2 linked regions of the Notamacropus eugenii genome follow. The protein of the gene in region 1 interacts with the protein of each later gene in a pairwise test. Links are inferred from orthologs where the notes say so. Each region holds a gene or a part of one and is shown on either strand. Other genes may lie near its edges.

Region 1 (10,091 bases):
TCAAAGTTTTTGGAGCAAAAATTCATTATTTGATATAAACTGGTAAGAAAACTGGAAAACACTATGGCAAAAACTAAGTATAGACCAACACCTCACACTGAATACCAAGATAAGGTCAAAATAGGTATGTGATTTATACAAAAATGGTGATACCATAAGCAAATTAGGTGAGCATGGAATAGTTTATCTGCCAGCTCTATGGATAAGGGATGAATTTGGGACTAAAGAAAATATAGAGAGCACCACAGAATGTAAAATCGATAATTTTGATCATATAAAATTTAAAAGTTTTTGCTTGTGGTTTTGCTTGTGCAAAAACAATGCAACCAAAATTAAAAGGAAAGCAGAAAACTGGGAGAAATTTTTTTGCAACAAGTATCTCTGATAAAGGCTTTATTTTTTAAATAAATAGAAAAACAGTCAAATTGATAAACATACACTGTCATTCCCCAATTAATAAATGATCAAAAGATAACAGGCAGTTTTCAGACAAAGAAATCAAAGCTATCTATAGTCACAAGAAAAATATCTAAATAATTATTAGACATATATAAATTAAAATATATATTATATATATTATATTATATATATTATATAAAATATAAATTAAAATAACTCTGAAGGTCCCACCTATCAGACTGAGAAAAGGAAAATGATAAATGTTGGAGGTAATGTTGGAAAACTGGGATACTAATGCACTGTTGGTGGAGTTGTGAACTGGTTGAACCACTCTGGAGAGCAATTTGGAATTATACCCAAAGGGATATAAAGCTATGCATATCCTTTGATCCAACAATATCACTGTTAGGTTCATATGCCAAAGATATAAAAAAAAGAGAGAGAGAGAAGGACCTATTTGTACAAAAATATTTATAGCACCTTTTCTTGTGGTGGCAAGAATTGGAAATCAAAAGGATGCCCATCAATTGGGGAAGGGCTAAACAAGCTGTGCTATATGAGTGTGATGGACCATTATTGTTCTGTAAAAAATAACGAGCAGACTAATTTCAGAAAAACCTGGGCTTATATGAGCTGATGTAAAGTGAAGTGAACAGAAACAGGAGAACACTGTACACAGTAACAGCCATACTGTATGATGAACTGTGAATAACTTAGTTATTCTCAGCAGTATGACCCAAGGCAAGCAAGAACTGATATTATTTAAATACAGACTGAAGTAGGCTATTTTTCACTTTCTACCTTTCATTCTCTTTTATTCAAATCTTCTTGTACAAAATGACTAATACAGAAATATTTTACATGAATGCATATGTATACCCTATATCTGATTGCTTACCATCTCATGGAAGAGGGAAGGGAGGAAGAGATAGATTTGGAACTCAAAAATTAAAAAAAAAAAGTTGAAAATTTGTTTTAACATGTAATTGGGGAAAAAATGAAATATATTAAAAATGAAAAAAATCATCAGCATAGACATGATAATTAAATCCATAGGAACTGATTAGATCACCAGGTGAAAGATTACAGAAGTAGAAGAGAAAAGGACCCAGGACAGAGCCCTGTGAGATACCCACATGTATCTTGCTTGTTAATGGGTGTGACCTAGATAAATAGCAAGCAAAAGAGACTGAGGAGGGGTAAGATAGATAGAATGAGAATCAAGAGGGAGTAGTGTGTATCATGAAAAACTACTGAGAAGAATATCAAGCAGAATAAGGTGACTGATAATTAAAAACTGCTCAGAGGTTACAAAGGATGGAGAAAAGACCACTCGATTTAGCAATTAAGAAATTATTAGTAACTTTGGAAAGAACAATTTTGGTTGAAGTCAGATTATAGAGAGTCTAGAAGAGATTGAGAAGTAGAGCCACCAATTCTAGATACCCTTCTCAAGAAGTTTAACTACAGAAGGGAGGAGAGATATAGTATGATAGATATTAGGGCTGGATGGATCAAGTGATGGTCTTTTTGAGCATGGGGTGTGGGGGAGAGACATATGGGCATGTTCATAGGCAGCAGAGAAGCATCCAATAGATAGGGAGAAATGAAAGACAAGTGAAAAGTGGGGATGAAAAAAGAGAGAGTGGAATTGTGTAGAATTTTGCTCTATATGCTCAGGAATGAAGTGCACAGACATGAAGAGAAATGATTCTAACCAAGTGGAGAAAGGAGTTTTCCAAAAAAAAAGATGATGTGAACGCATAGCAAACACAGCAATCCATTTAGAATTTTTTTAATGTGTGTGCAGAAGTTAGAAGTACAAGTCAGATAATAAGGTGAATATGAAAATATGCCATAGTTCTATTTTTTTTTTGGTAGACAGGTTAAGTGATTCGCTTAAGGTCACACAACTGGTAAGTGTCTGACTCTGGCTTTGAATTAGGTCCTCCTGACTCCAAGGCTCTATCCACTTAACTCCCTAGCTGCTCCCTATACCGCTATAATAATAGTGTCAGGAATGCTGAATGAGCTAAGGTTTGGTGAGGAAAGTGAGAAGAAAAAAGGATTCTTTTAATATTGTTTTTTGCTATACTGGCAAAAAAGAAAGATGATTAAACAGGACTGCTAATCAAAATGGAAGAAAAATACAACAATTGGAAAGAAGAAAAAAACACTCAGCTTTTTTCTGTTTTCTTTTTTTTTTCTTTACCAAGAAGAATGATCTTTGGATCAGAAAAGACAAAGCAAAATTGACTTAAAGTTGACAACCAAGACAAACAAGGAGATTGTCAAAGTACATTGCTTTTGATGACCTCTAATCACCAGTCCAAATGAATTGTACTTCAGGGTGAACTAGATTCTATCTCCATGTCACCATGTAGAAGAACTATATCCCACTTTAGAACTAAGAAAGAATAGGTGGACATGACTGCTATATCAGTCAATGATATTTGAAAGATCTTGCAGACTAGAAGAGATCCTGTATAATCTGAGAAGGCCAAATGTTATAATGACTTACAAAAAATGGAAGAGAATGAAATCTGCAAACTACAGGTGAGTGTGACTGATTCTGGTAAAATTCAAGGAGCTGTTCTTAAAGTTAGTGAACATTTAGAAAAGAAAGCAGCAATCACTAACAACCAACACGACTTAATCAAGGACAGGTCATCCATTTTTGTCAGCATTATTAGACTTTTATATTGGAGGAATGCTAGAGATACCTCGTTTACCTGGGTTTTAGAAAACACATGACAAAATTTCTCATACTGTCCTTGAAGACAAGTTAGAGAGATATAGGTTAGATGATCATAGTCAGGTGAATTTAGAACCAATTGAATGCCCCTATCTAAAGAATAATTATTGTTTGTACGTTAACTTGGAAGTTCTCTAGTGGAGTACCTCAAGGATCAGTTCTTTGAACTTAGCATTTTAATCATTGCCATGGGTAAAGAGATAAATGGCATATTTGTGAAATTTGCAAATGAACCAAAGCTAGGAGTAGTAGCTAACATGTTGAATGAATTAAGCACCACAAAGATTTTGGACATGAGGACAAAAGTGATGTGGTTTAATTTTATGAGGATATGTGTAAATTCTTACACTTGTATTTTAAAAAATCAACTTCCTAAGATAGGGCAGGTCTTCTTAGCTAAGTATATTATCTGAAAAAGATCTGCAGTCTTTTATGGACTGCAAAGTCAATATGATACAATAGTGTATTATCTTTTCTTTGTATGACCAGCTGTATTGTAATGAGCAGCTGTATTTTTTGTTTCATATAATTTTCATACAATTCATAAAATTGCTTGTTGAATTGTGAATGAAGTCATTCCCTATCATCTACTGGTGGCATAGGCCTCCAACCTTAATAAAGCTTGTCTTCTAATTTTTTTTTTTTTGGCAGATTGATGACAGTTAATGAAATTGATAAGAAAATTCATGCTGCAAATGAGGCTAAAAGAGCTGAGTTCTGAAAATAAGCAATAAGGAGGTTACTGATGACTTTGGACAGAACAATTTCATAGAATGATGGGAACTGAAGCCAAATTAAAAGGGTTTAAAGAATGATTGGGTGCCAAGAAGGTGGAAGCGATGAGTGTAGACTCTACCGCAGTGAAGGCTAGAGAAATATGGTGGCAGATTCAGAAATGTCGGGGAAATTATTGAAGAACACATGAGAGAAATTGGGATTGATTGACGCAGTAAAGGATCTGAGAGTGGTCGTGATCAAGAGAAAAGAGTTAGGTTTGGCAAGGAGGAGGGCCCCTTCAACCCCTGGTACTGAATGGTGAAAGAAAACACTGGAAGCTTTAGGGGGAGGGAAAGAGAGGAAAAGATTATTGAAAGCGCTCAGCCTTCTTTTTTTGCACACACTAGGTATTTAAGAAACACATGTTGATTGAATGAATGGCTCCCAAGGTCTTAGTAAAAACAAGGTCATTTCCTTGGAGTCGTATTGGTAAAGCTGGGGACTTAAGAGATTTGGAATCGCCAATGCGGTGGATTGGGTTCAATGAGATAAATAAAGGGGTGGCCATGTACTGGTACTAGGTTCAGCGGAGGTCAGGTAGGAATAAAGCTGTAGTGACGCTAGTCAGGCTCGGTTTGGGGATTTCTTCCAGAATTCTTTTTCACTGTTTAGGAACAGGAGTGGACAGAAGCCAGACTGTGGTAACCTGGGGTTAAAGAGAAGGAAAACAAACGGAAGGGACATTTCCTCCAGGATGCAGTTGTGAAAGCACACAGATTACGCGCATCTGCTGCACACTGCCAGACTGACTCCACGGTTACCTTACAAAGGTAAAGAGAGCGGGGCTGGCCAGCACCGGAGGAGTCGGGGCTGGGCTCAGAGCTGGCAGGGCTGGCCAGCACCGAAGGAGTCGGGGCTGGGCTCAGAGCTGGCAGGGCCCTTAACTACAGTCCAGCAGACCGGACGGTTGGCACAGAGTCTTTGCACCAGCGAGACTCAGACCTCAGTACTTCTTCCCCTCTCCTAGGGATGAACTTGGATGGATGTTAAAATAAAACAAAAACCCGCTCACTAGAGGCCCCTCACGCAAATCACCAGTCTCGAGAGTCCAGCCACCACTCTCCTCTAAAGAACGGCCAAAGAGCTCGGACTGCACTAGCGGGAGGAACCTGTCCGACCCCAGCTAAAACCACGCTTCTCTCATTTTACTGCCCCAAGCCCCGCCCCTGGAGTCAATACCTCCTCCCCGGGGCTGGTAGGCGGACCGAGGCGGGGCGGAAAGTTAGCGTGACGAGACAGGAGAAGGCAGGCGATTGGCCGTGACGGAGGGTCTGGGCGTGACCAACCCCATTGATTGGTTGGAGGGCGGGGCCTCCAGAGCTGGGACATCTACGGCGGCTGGCGGGGAGACGGGGGCGGCTGGCTGTGGGGGGGGGGGTGCGGGTAGTGGGGCCGGGGACCGCGGAGGGCTGAGGGCCATCGCGGCGGCGGGGGCGGCTGCGGGATGGGGCTGAGCTCCCAGCTCCGTTAAAGACTGGCATCGGCTGCGGCGGCAGTCGAGAGAAGGAGGGAGCGGCCATGAAGGGGGCTCTGGGCAGCCCGGTGGCCGCCGCCGCAGCCGCCACCTCCGCGATGCAGGAGACTTTCGGCTGCGCGGTGGCCAACCGCTTCCACCAGCTGCTGGACGACGAGTCGGACCCGTTCGACATCCTGCGCGAGGCCGAGCGGCAGCGGCAGCGGCAGCAGCAGCAGCAGCGCAAGAAGCGCGACGAGGCGGCGGGGGCTGCGGGCGGCGGCGGGGGCGGCGGGGGCGGGGGCCGGAGGCCCGCCTCGGCGGGGGCTGCGGGACTCCGGCTGAGCGGCGGCGGCGGCGGCATCGGCGGCGGAGGCGGCGGCGGCCGGAGGGAGTCCCAGAAAGACCGCAAGATCTTCTCCTCCCCCTTCTCCCAGCCCGACAGCTTTGGGGGAGGCCCGCAGCCGCCCGGTACGCCCACGCCCCTCCCTCCCGGCCGGCTGCGGGAGCGTTTCCCCGTTTATTTATTTTCTCCTTTTTTAGTTATCCCCAATCTGCCCACCCTCTTTCCCCCTCCGCCCCCCTCCCTGGTGGCGAGAGATCCGCAGAGTCCGGCCGGAAGCTCCCGCATGGGCCGCGGCCGAAAGCGTAGCTCTCCCGCATCCCGGGCCTCCGGCATCGCGGTCTAGCAGAGTTCTTAACTCTTCAAAGTTGTCTGTCTGTCCGTGTCGCGGTTCTTTGGGACGTCCTTAGGGTTCTGCTGATGTCGCCCCGCACCCGTGCAAACGAATCTTACCCAGGTTTCTCCGAACCTCGCCCCGTCCCCTTCACCGTTTCTTACGGCACAATAGTATTCCCTTCCATCTGTGGACCATAATGTGTGCAGCCATCCCCCCTTTGGATGGTCACATCTTCTAGGACCCCGTTCTTTTCCGCCCCACCCCCACCTCCATCCCCCCACGAGGGTAGCAAGGGAAGTATTGAGGCTGCGGTGGAAACTCTGCAGGCAGACGATGATAGGAGAAAAATGGGAAAGAGGGACGTCATCTCGGGCCTTTCTCCCATCGCATTCTCCCTCTCATCCCTCTGAAAAGCTGGGCACGGGGGTTAGGGGTGTCAAAAGTGGGTTTGGAAGGCTAGCAGAATGAGGTGTGGAGACAGACCTGGAAAATCCAAAGGAACCCCACCCCCAATTCTGCCAAGGACAATTGGAGGGGAAAAATTATACTTTCTTTCTTTTGGTTTAAATGCGGGGGAGGAGGTAGAGAATTTCTTCTTTGAGAGGCAGAGATAAAAGTAGCCCCAGAGTCGAGGATACTGGAAGGGGGAAAGGAACGAAGAAGACTTTTGAGACTCTGGGCTGACATGAGAGCCTGGATTATCTGGAGCAACCTGGTAATGATGATACCTGTTAAGTATGGAAGTAATGGAATGATGTTGAGCAGCTAAGTTCTGTTTTGAAAAGGGAGAATGTAGATAGTAAGGGTGGCATTAAAAGTATTTGATTTCAAGCTACCTGAGGTTCAGAACCAATCCCTGGCTGACTTGTTAGGGCTGTGCATCCGCGCAAGGCACAGCCTAGAGTTCACTAGAGTGCTAAGTTGGCACCGGGGGATTCAGTAGTTTAAATAATATTATGCAAGTTTTCTATTATCATCTGGTATTAAAATTTGACGTACAGTCATGGACAGCGTTTTTTGTTTTGAATTTTGGATTATGTCAATCTGTTGCTGATATATTAGAGAGATTGCACTCCACCCGAGTGTATTCAAAAATGATTCTATAATGTTGTTGAGATGCCTTATTTCTTTGTAGCAAGTAGAAAATCAGGACTCCAGGTTGATGTGTTAATATTTCTACAAAGTAAATGTATTTCATTATTTCGCCTTGCCTCCTGATAATGTGCACTAATCGATGACCTTTAACTCTACAAGACAATCAACCACTTTTGCCTTCTGCACAGTCTAATTCAGGCAATGGCTATGAGGTTTGCAGAAAGCTACTGCTCTATTTGCTTTCTGTTTAAAATGAGAGGATTTAATGTGGCAATCTCCTAAATATGAAAGAAAGTGAAATGGAGTAGATTTTTCAATTTATCCATAGGCATGCATGCTGTCTACTGTAGTGACCCTAGGTCCATTTGTATAAGGAATCATACATCAGTAGCACTGAGTCATTTGGCCTAATTTAAGCTTTAAGAATTTGTCTGAAGGCACTAGATAATAACGAATTATTTTTACCTGGGAAGTATAATCAAGAGCTATCGTTTTACTGTTAGTTACATTCCTTTACAAAACTGTCTAAATGTGTCACTAAGTATTTTTAGCATGCCAGTTAGGGATGACATTTGAAAGCTGTGTTTATGTACTATGCCATTTTGCTCATATGGTACCTGTGAGGTCATTATCAAGTAGTTAAGTTAAAACTCTGCTAATGTAGATTTTTTTTCCATTGATTAAAAACATTTTGTTTAACTTTAGGTTAATTCTTTACCTTACTCTATGTGTTATTCCAAAAAATGAAGATTTGTGTTCTCTGCCCTCTGCTGTTAGTATGAAACTTTATATTAAGTGGTACCTAACTAATATGATTAACATTATTGTAAGTTCCTAAATCAACTTTTTAAAAGTTGATTTTAACAGCTTTGGTAGTCTCTTTTCCTCTGTCTAGGAAAGTTTTTGCACTATCTTATTACTTTACAATTCTTATGAGATTCATTTTAAAGAATTTTGGTTGGCTTTAGTAGTCTAAAGGCTTTGTGTTCATTTAGGAATATCTTGGACTCCAGGAGCAAATCAAAGCATTTGTTTTTGTGACATTATCTTGTTAAGCTTCTGTGTAGTACTTTTGAAAATGCAAGTCCCAAGATTACAGCCTTGGAATATTATTAAAGTGGTAGGTATTGGACTTTGTTGTCTCTGAGTTTTCACTCCAGTAGAACATTATTTGTATGTGAAAACTTAATGTGGACAGGAAACCACAGTTCAAAGGAGTGAAGTGATTTAGTAGATCATTTATTAATCAGAGAATGTTATACAAATCACAGATTTTTTTTTCATTGCAAATGCCTAATGTTTCTTTCTTTTGTTTAAATAGCTGATCAGGTGTTGAAAAAATGTAAATTTAGCAAATGCAGATCCCTGTAAGTGGACCTTGTTTCTGGAGATTATCAGAGTTCTTCCTTAGTAACTATAACTATAGAAGTTCCCTTTCTGTAACTATACAAAATCCCCTGATGTGGTCCTTAAACTAAAAACTTGATTTTTGCCTGATAATTGTTGTAGATGCCATTTATTTAGTCCCTTTTATATGAACTTGCTTGTCTAATTCTTTGATCAGTGATCAAATTGCATGTGCCAGCCCTTTATTGAAAAGGGCTGTGAAATGCAAGGTTTGCATTATGCACTCACAGTTGCTGATCCAGCATAGAGAAAGGAACTGGGTTGTGCCTCAGTGAATTCCTAATACTGTATTTCCAAAATTGGAACCACTGATAATATACATCTTTTAGGATTTTCAAGGCAGGAAAAAACATTACAATACAGATTACTTCATCCAGTTTATAAAAGACAAGCACTCAGAAAAGGACAAGGTTTTTGGCAAAGAGGTCTTAGTAAGGGCAAATATAAAACTACACGATTCTTCATTTAAATTAATTTATTCTAACCTTTTAAAATATATTCGAGTGGACACTTATTAGTTCTGTGATCCTGAGCAAGGACCTCAACCCTGATTTTCTTTCCTCTCTCTCTCTGTCTCCCTCTATGTGTCTGTCTCTGTCTGGTCTCTTGTCTCTCACACACTCACACACACACACTGAAGTCAGAGAAGAGTGTTGTCTAAATTCTTGTGAGGAGTTTTCTACCCAAGTGGTATTTTTAAAAATCATAGTTAATTGACCCCCCTACCTACATTTGATTCTTAATATGCATTAAAATGACTTTGAGTTTAAGTTAAGAAAAATTCATATTATTTATAGATAAAACACATTTACATGTTTTGTTAGTGCATGTGATGATGACTGTGTTCACAATCAATCTTCAATTTAAAATACATGTTAGAACAATCTTTCATTTTCCTATTTATTAATTCATTTTGATAATCATACTTACCAAGGCATATAATTTCAGTTTACATGGTATCCCTTTCTGTTTTAGCAACATGTGCCAAATGAGCTAACACTGCATGAGATTTTGGCCTTCTCAACATTCTCACCAGTCTTTTCATCATTGTTCTGGCTCAATAAAACCATAATACTACATTTATGAATATAGCAATATTTTGTATGGAACCAAATAAGTCATGAGCTCAGATTGTAATTTTGTTACAAGATAGAAACCTGTTTAAACCGTTTTCAAGAATTAGGCATATTACAACCATTGCAAATTGAATTTAAATCTATGGCATATCAGATTTTAATATGCTAATTACTATCATAATAGCAGTATTCCATATTTTAACATCAAGAAATGTTATTTTTTGGACAGGGACTTAACTTACCTCCATTTTCAGTGACACATATGTTTTTTACTGAAAATTGAATCTTTTAATTTATTAGAACTTTTATTTTTATATCTGGTCTTTAGAGTTTTACATGGAAAAAGTTAATTTAGAATCAAACTCTCATTGAAATTCTTTGTCTGGTGTGTAAAGTAAATATCATTGATAAGCATTCCAATAGTTCAAAATAGTTAACTGTGATATTAA
Region 2 (9,956 bases), on another chromosome or scaffold:
GCATTGATCTGTTTGGGGAGGCTCTGCACACAGTCCACCTAGAACTGAACTAACAGGCTGCTCACTGGACCTGGTTCTGGGATGTGAGAGGCTCCTGTGGCACCCTGTTCTTGAGCCCTCCCTCCTGGAGCCCCAGGCTGAGCTCACCTCTTGCTGTTCCTGAACTTTCTGTCCCTCTGATGGCTCATCATCAAATGTCGGTGGGATACTGTTGTTAATATTAAATGTGACTGTGATCCTAAAGCAGAAAAAGAAGACCAAGGGGGTTCCACGTCTGGTACAATCTACTCCTCTGACGCTTCCCCTGGTACACACCAACAGCCTCCCTAGGCCAGTGTGTGGCCCATGGTGGAATGGCATGTTTCTGTCAGCAATGGAAGCAGAGGCCCAAAGCGCTGCTGCATCCCAGGGGCCTCCCGTCCTCCTTCCATAGCCAGTCTCTCAAGTTCAGCCCTTTCCCTCCAGCTCACCCTGCCCCCCCCCCCGAGGACAGCATGTTTTAGCGGTCCCTCTTTGGACAGCTTTCTCTGTAACTCCCCTCAGAGACACCCCCTTGAAAGGACCATTGTACAGTGGTGTCCCAGCAACCCCAGAGGGGTTCCACCATCTGATAACCAAGATTCCTTTCCAGCTCTGTCTGTGGTCGTAGGCCTAGCAATGAGTCCCTCCCAGTCCAGGCCATACTCACGTCTCGCCTGTTAATCTCCGGACTAACTTGGCCTCTGTCCCTTGCACACCCAGTTCCCAATCCCCAGACATCTTGGGGAGGGATTTGTGTTTCTGGATTTTCCTTTCCTCTTTAATTTCATCAGTCAGGAATTCAGCAAAGGCCTTGTCCCCTAAAATAAAAATGGAGACATGGGAAAGCTGCCTTTTAAACTCTATCATGGGTTCATGTTAAAGACACATGCAGAGACCCTTGGCATGGACAAGCTTTATCAAGATAGAGCTGGGTGGGGCAGTCAGAGATCATCATAGTGACAATATGGCCACACGCCCCACTCTGTAGCATGGGGAGTAGGGACTATAGATCAGGCCTGGATTCCCTCTCCCCAGCAGCTGTGAACATGAATCTGGAGTCAAGGCTGGCCACCCCGGTCAGGAATAAATGATAGGCGAGGAAGAGGTGCCCCCAGTGCCTCTGTGCACAACTCCTGACCCCCTGACCCCATCTACTCCTGAGAAGGAAGTTCCCTGAAGACAGGGCCTGCCTTCAGACCCAAATACCCATTTAGTGCCAAGATGAAAATGTAAGAGTCTCTGGACTCCAGGAGCATCTGATCACAGGAGGGGAACTGGACTGACACAAGTGTTAAGTCATTTATTATACAGCAATAGAGGGAGGGAGACTAGGGAATCAGCCCCATGAGGCAAGGGCAAAACCAGAAGGTTGGGAAAGAGAACGTCCCAGCAGTGAGCCTGAGCCTGCTAGAGCTACAGGGCTCAAGATGGACCCTAAACCATGGGACAAAAGGGAGGCATGGGAAAGAGACCCAAAGAGTCCAGTGCAGATAAAGGGATTCATGTACTAATATTTTGGCAAGTCACACTGCAGGAGGAAATGATCAACTTCTCTGGACTTTTGTCCAATGGGTGCCAGCTGACAGAAGCAGGAGACGTTAAGTGCACTGATACTGTTGTCGGTCTAGCTTTTCTTAGGAATCTTGCTACCTGGACTGGGGAAATCATTCATATTTTTCTCAATTTGAGACTGCCAAGTTATCTCCACAGTTGTGAAATACGACATCCTCCATCCACTTCCCTCTGACTTTGTTCGGGGGAGACACAGCATCTATAATGTCCACTCTTGGTCTCCCACCGAGGTGAAATCTGTTTGGAGATGACAGCTGACCCTCAGCACCTGCTAGACCACTTCCAGTGTTCACAGTGAATTTGCCAATCTTTCCTGAGTAGTTTGTGTTAACACAACCCCTGGACAGTTGTGTGCACTTATGGTAGCACTAGGCCCCATTCCACAACCTTAAGTTGTGGACTGAGCAAAGAGTGACTCACTGGATCCTGATGCTGTGGCTCACTTGCCACAGAGATGGTGCTGCTCAGAGGGGACAGAAGGCAGGGGCAACTGAAGCCAAAACACTCATTGTAGAGGAAAGCCAGATCCAGAGAGGTCAGGGGGCCACAGTCAAGGCCCAGCAATTACATTTAGGCAGAAGCCTCATTTAAGACACCCTGAAAATTCCGTCTCTGCCAAGTCTGCCCTGATTAAACAGAGGACCTGGGACAAATCTCCCTCTGTCCACCCTACCCAAACAGGCACACTAAGGGGAACCTGGTCCATTTAGGGTTAGAGTCCGATGGTCTATTTGTTTTGTTGGGCAATTTTGGGTCAGATGTCCCAGTGTCTAAATAAGGGGCAATCTAGAGAGACCAGCCCTAATCATTTTGCCCCTGCTAAGTTATGGATGAGGTGCCACATGCAATGGTGCCGCTAATTCCTTCATCTTCTACACTGATGAAATCTTAGGTCCAGTGGGTTCCCCTGAGAACAGAGATGCTATGGGGAGGGTGCAGAGTATCACAAGGCAGCCCAGTAACTTGATGGCACCAGCTTCTGCTTGAAGACCACCCACGAGGGATGCCACCTTCCACTTCTGGAAAAATGGGGAATAGCCTTTACCTCCCAAGGCCCTCAAGAGGCTCAAGAGTGAGAGAATATTTATAAGGTGCACAGTGCCTAGCACATAGGAGGTTTGCGATAATGTTCTTCCTACCCTATTCCCTCTCTGCCATAGCCATCAACTACCCTGGGGCCAAGCACAAAATCTCACATTAATCCAGTAGCTCTGAACTGAAAGAATCTCTAATCCTCTACAGAAATATCTCTGTGGGCAGAGACTAAACAACTTGACCAATGTAACAAATGAAACAAAAACCAAAATAAAAATATAATGTATGGGGTCCTAGGGTGTGATCATCCTTCATTGTGGAAGAAGACCACGCCAGCAGAGAAATAACGACACGACTTGCTCTTGACTTTGTTTTGAGTGAGGGAGGGCTGTGCAGGTCACCAGCCTCACTTCTCCTCCAGACCCATCTGAATCCAGTGACCTGATATTCCTCAGGATGACTGGAGATGACCCAGGAGGAGGCAAATTGGGGTTAAGTGACTTGCCCAAGGTCACACAGCTAGTGAGTGTCAAGTGTCTGAGGTGAGATTTGAACTCAGGTCCTCCTGACTCCTGCACTGATGCTCTATCCACTGCACCACCTAGCTGCCCCACGGGGTCCTAGTATTCATTAGGCAAATATGGCCACCAACCCACTCTCCGCCTATGAAGTGGTTTTTTCTCAACACTTATTTCTCTTAATCCCCTCTCCAAGCAGCCTTAGCTCCACTGCCACCACACCTACCCTCCCCGCCTGTTAAAGGCAGTAGCAGCATCCATTGTCTGTGGGAGCTGCCAGCATGTGGGTAAACTCTTGGGGCGCCAATTCCAAAGGCAGAATTGCCCGCTGGACTGGGCACCCCAATGCGCTGTGGATCGTCCTGGGCTCTGATGATCATTCAGCGTGGTTAGAGTTGGAAACCACAGACTTAGCAAAGTCGACAGAAGCCAGAAGCCAGATGAGTCTTGACAGAGAGAGTGTCGGATCGGGAGAGGACAGAAGGGCAGACTGAGCCAGGATGGCCTGGCAGTGGGAAGGCGAGGCAGCTACAAGCACTCCCCACACCAAGGGTCACCTTGAAAATAGGTCAGGGGGTTAGGGTCAGAGCCACGTGGGGCCTGCTCCCTCCGTAACTACCCGGGCAGGAGCCCCAATTCCAAACCCAGCCCTCGCCAATCCGAATAATCGGCGCCCCGAAAGCGACTTGACCGCCTTTGGGAAGGTGTGCGGATCCACGTGCGCACCCCATGGGGTCAGCGTGGGAGCCCCTCCCCCGCTCTCCCCAGGTCCCGGCCGCGCGCTCACCCTCGGTGTGGAGCCCCCCGCACGTGCACGAGCATAGGCCAGGGGCATTCCGGAGCGGCTGCAGGAGTCGGGGGCGCGCGGGCCCAGGCCTGCCGGCGATTCCTCCCCCCAGGAGGCCTCCGAAGGCGCGGGTGGCGGCGGCCATGGGGGGGCGCAGCGTCGGGAGGGCGGCGGGACGCAGGGCCCGGGCCGCAGGGCGCAGCAGCAGCGGTAGCAGCAGCGGGGCCATGACCGAGACACGCGGAGAGGCGTGGGAGCGCCGTAGGAGACCGGAAAGACAGCAGAGAGTGCGGAGCACGCCGGGAAATGCGCTGGCCGGAAAGGCCCAAGATCGTCCCGTTCCGGAAGTTCGTGCGCCACCTCGGAGGGTCACAGCGCCCCTCGTCGGGAGATGGTGATAGCACCAGTGAAGGTACTCAAGGACTGCACGATGATTGACTGGTTGCGACGCCACTACTGGAGTCACCCGACTCTAGAGCGAGGAGGGCCCGGAGTTTCCCCGAATGGCTCGAGACCGCGTATTCTCTGGACACGCCCAGACGTGAGCGCACTTTCCCCGCCTGTTTTCTGCCTTCCTGTTTAACCTCATTGTTTTCACCATCCTTTTGTCCGACCCTCCTCCGAAGGAGGCGGGGCTCCATTTCAGGCCAGTTTCCTCCAGAGGCATCCCCATTCTCTGTCACTGACCGCGAGCGCCCAGGTTACGTTGTATCTAACTTGCATGTGACCGAACTGACTTCGCTGCAGGTTAAGGTTACATTGTATCCAACTTGCATGTGTACATAATATCCAATATGTACGAGCCGGAAATGCCTGCGCTTCAGGCTAAGGTTACAAAGTATCCAACATGCACTTGTGGGAACTGCCTGCGCTTCAGGCTAAGGAAGGGACCGGGAGCGCCTAGCCTGGGGTACCTAGAATCCCAGCTACCTGGGACTGAGCTTAGATTGTATCCAGCCTGCCCGGATTGGTACCTCGGAAGGAGAGATCCTACATACACTCGTGTCCATCTCGGCAGTTGTGAGACCTACACCTCCATCCCACACGGATTGGAGGTATCCCATTCTGCTTAAATGAATGACAGTGTACCTGCATTATCCGTAGCTAGCAAGGACCCTGAAAATTCTCACTACCGAAGCTCTCACAATTCCAGAGGCCTCGGGAGGAAAGTCTCTGCCCACCACTGGAGACACTAATGCTGGGCTCAGTGTAAATGTGATGGGTTCAGACTCTGGGAGCCTTCTTGAATGTTCCCACTTAATCTGGCCTTTCTTATTCAAATCTAATCTTCCCATTTGTTCCAGCAGTCTCAGGAAGCCCTTGGGCTTTTCATTATCGCTGTGCACTGGTCTCTGTTGCACTCCCCACCCTTGATCCTATTAAAACCCCATTCCCCAGGCTTCTGACCACTCCCATCAGGATTCTCTCCTAGGTTTGATCTACCAAGACCATCCCTGCCAACACCTGGATGCTTCTCAGTCTTTTTCTGTATTTAAATTCCATCCCGATTCCTTGAAGGTGCTCAGATTCAATCCACCTCAGACTCTGTCTGAGATTCTATCTGGGAGAGTTACAAAAGCTTAGGCTCCTTGAGTCAACCCAGTATGGCAAATCTTTAATAAACTTTTTCTTTGGCTTTAAGAAAGCTTGAGTTGAATTCATTTGGGCAGGACCTGGCATGTCGGTATTTCAGGGTCCCCAGCACCCCTGAACCTCAACATATGGACAGTTTTTAGACATGGTCAGCACAGACTGGCTTGCTTGACCTATTGGTAACGGTTCTTTTTGTTTGCTTTGTACTTTCTCGATGGGCAAGGGAAGGAAGGTGGGATCTTCTTGGCAAACATACTGGAAAGGTTTGCCATTTCCTTCTCCAGCTCATTTTACAGATGAGAAAACTGAGGCAATTGTGCAGGGTCATATAGCTAGTGTCTGGGGCCAGATACTTCTAATCCACTGTGCCACTTAGCTGCCCTAATTTTACACACACACCCACACACCATAATATATAATACATGTGGTGATTGAGATAATCAGTAATGGAAAGGCACAAAGATTAAGGATGGCCCAGAAAGGCTTCTTGTAGAAAAGGGGATTCTAGCTGGGGCTCAAAGGAAGGCAAGAGACAGAACATTCCAGACGTGGGGGTGGAGGGTAGCCAGAGAAAATGCCAGACATATGGAGGGCCTTGTTAGTGAAACAGACAGGAAGCTGGGATCACTGAATCCAAAAGTCCAATTTGGGAAGTAAGGTATAATAAGACTGGAAGAGGGGGAAGGGCAGATAATGTAGGGTTCTTTGTGTTTGATCCTAGAAGCACTAGGGAGCCCCTGGAGTCTATTGGAGGGGGAGGGGGTTATGGGGGCAGAGAGCCTGCACTGAGCTTTAGGAAAACCATTTTAGTGACTGAGGGGAGGATGGACGGAAGTGGGGAACATTTGAAGTCCAAAGACACCCCCCAAACTGGCTACTTGGACAGTCCTGTGTACTGTAAGAAATGATGCAGGTGACTGGTAGGGAAGGCTGGGAAGATCTCTAAGAGCTAATGCAGAGACAAGAAAATGTGCAAATGAACAACCGCCCTCTGAGATCCATGAAAGCATGACCTGGTTTGATCTGAATTCTGCAGCTTCTCCTGCATGGGCACAGGGCTCTCACACAATGAGCTTTGTCCTGAAGCCTGGCACAGGGCTACGTATGGGTGAGTACTTCACTCCAATTATACAGAGCTGCCAGGGACCCAGGAGACTGGGGAAAGGCCTGGTGAAAGCAGGGGTGTGCACCCAGGTCTGCTAGGGTATGGCTGCTGCCTCCAAATATTCGAAAGCTCACCTGTGTAAGAATCACTTAGCAGCAGAAGCTGGGTGGTGGCATGGAAAGTGTTTTGGACTGTGGTTGAGGAAATGCTGAGTCCAAGACCTGCCTCAATCCCTGCCAAAGTCACATCAACTCCGCCAGCCTCCATTTCCACAGCACAGAAATGGGAACAATGACAGAACCTAGACCAGGCTTAAATGAGATGAGAAGGTGGGTAGATATAAAGCACTTTGCCACCTGTTACCACCAGCAGCCAGAAATGAGCAGACAGAAGAATTTCCTCAGGCTCCACAGCTCCTGGCAGGGAGGGGCTTGGAGCCATGACCCCAAGGCCTCTCCACCCACCCCACCCCCATCACCTCACACCTCTCTTGGCACCAACTTTGGCAAGGCCCCCAGAGGAGCCCAAGCTAAATGAATGAGGCCATGCAGCGGCAACATCTCCTTCCTAAAAATTTTACAAAAGTCAATTTATTGCATTTTCAATTGAAAAACTGTATATGGATAAAAACTAGCCAACCGTGGCAGATTCCTGCCCACTAGCCAGTAATGAGCACAGCTCAAGCCTTTGCAGCAGTTTCCAAAGCCATCCCATAACAGGCATGGAATTCTGACCTTCCCTTTCTGCCCCAAGCTCTGAGGCCGCCAGTTGCCTCTCCCATCCTGGCCAAACGTCGGCCTGAGCCACGAGGCTTAGCTGCGGGCGGCCCGCATCTTTCTGCGGAAGTACTCAGGCGCAGCATCATAGAGCCAGTCTGTATCGACCACGCAGAGGTCCCTCATGTAGCACTTATTGGTGGACAGCAGCTCATTGTAGGTGACGCAGGCTGGTTTGCAATGGAACAGCACAGAGGACGGGTGGATGGATACTGGTTGGCGGGTATCCACGGTTACATAGGTCCCATCAGACTGAAGCTCGGCAGTGTTCATGAAAAGGCCATGCGCCAGGCATCGACGAATGTTCCCCGTGTCTGCCCGTGAAGATTCGATTGGCATCGACATCTGTCGAAGAAGAGGAGAAAGATGACTCTTGATGACCTAATTCTCCCCATCCGACTGAGGTTCAGGCCAAGATGCTGAGCCCCAGCTGGCTGGTGCACAGAGGGGAAACTTAGGTCCTTTTCCTCCTCATGCCAGCATCTGTCATCCAAATGATCCATTAAAGAGCAAGGTGCTATCCCAGGGAGTGACCCTGGGGAGCAGGAGACGTTCCTCCCCACATTGTGCTAATAGGAGACAGGCCCTACTGGGAGTGCAGGTGAGGGGTAGAGACCCTAATCATTTCAGCCAAGAACCAACTAAAATTCCCTAGAGAATGTCCATCTGGGAAACTACCAAGACTGAAATTCTCAAGATGCCAAAAGAACCGATCCTGCTGAGAAGGAAAAGTGGTCTAAAGAGCTCGCCCTCAATGCGCTGAGGCTGCAGACATGGACGGAAGGAGGAGGCAGGTGCTAGAGGTGGTGGACGCCTGCCTGAGCTCTGCCAGCCCTGCATCTGGAATGCCAAGGCTCTGCCATGAGCCTGGCCTGTGGAGGAGTGGGAATGTGGACAAGGGCAAGCCTTCTTCCAACTCCACATAGGAAGTAGCCTCCAGTGAGTGGGAGGAGGCTCAAGGAGTCAGGTCTGGTTAACTGGTAATCCCCACCCCTACCTTCCTTCACCCCTGGAGGGTCAGAGGAAGGTCAGAGGATACACATGACTGTAAGGGACCCCAGCTGCTCTCCATGAATTCTAAGCACCCTCAGGCTGATAACATGAGGGCAGACCGTGGTCAATGACCTCTAAAAGATGATGCAGAATGGGGTGGGGGTGGCGCCAGCCTCTCCCTTGCTTACATTTGGCTGAAGCCACCCTGAAATCTGCCTGACCTTTCTCTTTCAGGTCACAGTCTAACAGAGGGTGTGAGAGAAGAGGATGGCCTGTTCCGAAGGGGAGTCTGCTGCTACTACCCCTTCGCTAATCTTGCTGGACTGCCTTTCTTCCATCCCATGGGATTTTTCAAGGAGTTTCCTCCTGACATCCAGCCTAGGAAGGTCATGCTGCCTCCTGGGTCAGGCCCAGAGAACAGAGCTGTACTCAGTACTGGGTCCACGGATTAGGAAGGGTGAAGGTCAGCAGAAACATGTCCAGAGGAGGATCAGCCAAGAGAAACCTGGATGTTCAGTCTGCCAGAGCTTTAGGAGGGGCCCCAAGGACATGAAGAGCTGAAACACAGACTATTTCAGCCAAACCAGAGCAGCCCCCAAACAGGAGGGACTGCTAGTGAGGTGGCACCCAGGAAGTCATCAGCTCATGGCTAACCCTGATTTCCTCAAGACTATGAGAGTTAAGCTACACAAAGCCCCTCTGGCCTAAAGGAATGACCACTGTGCAGTGGGGCTACTTTGTGGGGGAGCCACGCCTTAGAAGTGAAATGTGGGGGAAGGCCCCACATTACCTTGGTACAGATGTCCCGGAGCTGGGCTCGGACTTCTGCCACCAGCATCATGTTCTTGCTGTTGACAAAATTCTCTCTGCACCATTCCTGGGGATCAGAGAAAAAGCGCACATCCCTTAGCTTCCTGGAAGCAGGGTCTACTCAGGGCAGGGCACACCCTGCACTGGGGCTGGAGGGCAACCTGCTCTCTGGGGACTGACCCACACAGGCCATGAGCAGATGGAGCTAGCTGATAGAGCCCTGGCACTCGGTCCTCCCTCATGACCCTTCCCCTGGCAAGGGCAGTTAGCAAGAGGTGTCATGTCCTTACACGGAGCAGAGACTGCCAGGACTGGTGCCAGGACTCCAATCCTACAAACAACATACACTAATGTCCTGTCACAGTGATCGGCATTAGGACAGGGCCTGGCACCCAAGAAGCAACGAATAAATGTGTACTGTCTGCCTGGCTGGCCTGGGATGTGTGTGTGTATGGACTTTAAACCATGACTGACATGAAAAGGGAATGAAATGTAACTCTCCTCTCTCACAGCAGAGAGATGGGGGACTACCAGGGCAGAGCATTGTATACACTCTCACAGCACAGTGGCTAGGTGGGACCTGGGCTGGGGCACCGAGTGATCAGGGGTCTGGTGGAGGCCTCCCTGGCACAGGCACTAGGGCTTCTCAAGGCTGGCTTTCCAGCTCCACACCAAGGGAAGCCAGAGTCAAGGGCACCAAGACTCTGCTTACCTTGTTCCCGCCAACGTTTCTGAAGGCTCTGTAC

What was found.
Region 2: the proteins of HABP4 (region 1) and C1QBP interact in a two-hybrid assay, tested with the Homo sapiens proteins (2 studies listed by BioGRID and IntAct). The link is inferred for Notamacropus eugenii from reciprocal best matches to the Homo sapiens genes HABP4 and C1QBP.

Annotation. Positions count from the first base shown.
Region 1 is NC_092874.1:327,441,718-327,451,808, reverse strand, and holds the start of HABP4 (intracellular hyaluronan-binding protein 4), read left to right. Parts: upstream 1-5,354; 5' UTR 5,355-5,449; coding exon 5,450-5,855; intron 5,856-10,091. UniProt on the Homo sapiens protein: Ribosome-binding protein that promotes ribosome hibernation, a process during which ribosomes are stabilized in an inactive state and preserved from proteasomal degradation.
Region 2 is NC_092877.1:389,108,929-389,118,884, reverse strand, and holds the start of C1QBP (complement component 1 Q subcomponent-binding protein, mitochondrial), read right to left. Parts: upstream 4,465-9,956; 5' UTR 4,163-4,464; coding exon 3,934-4,162; intron 840-3,933; coding exon 689-839; intron 239-688; coding exon 148-238; intron 1-147. Other genes in the region: ATP-dependent RNA helicase DHX33, read right to left, coding at 7,444-7,752, 9,191-9,277, 9,923-9,956.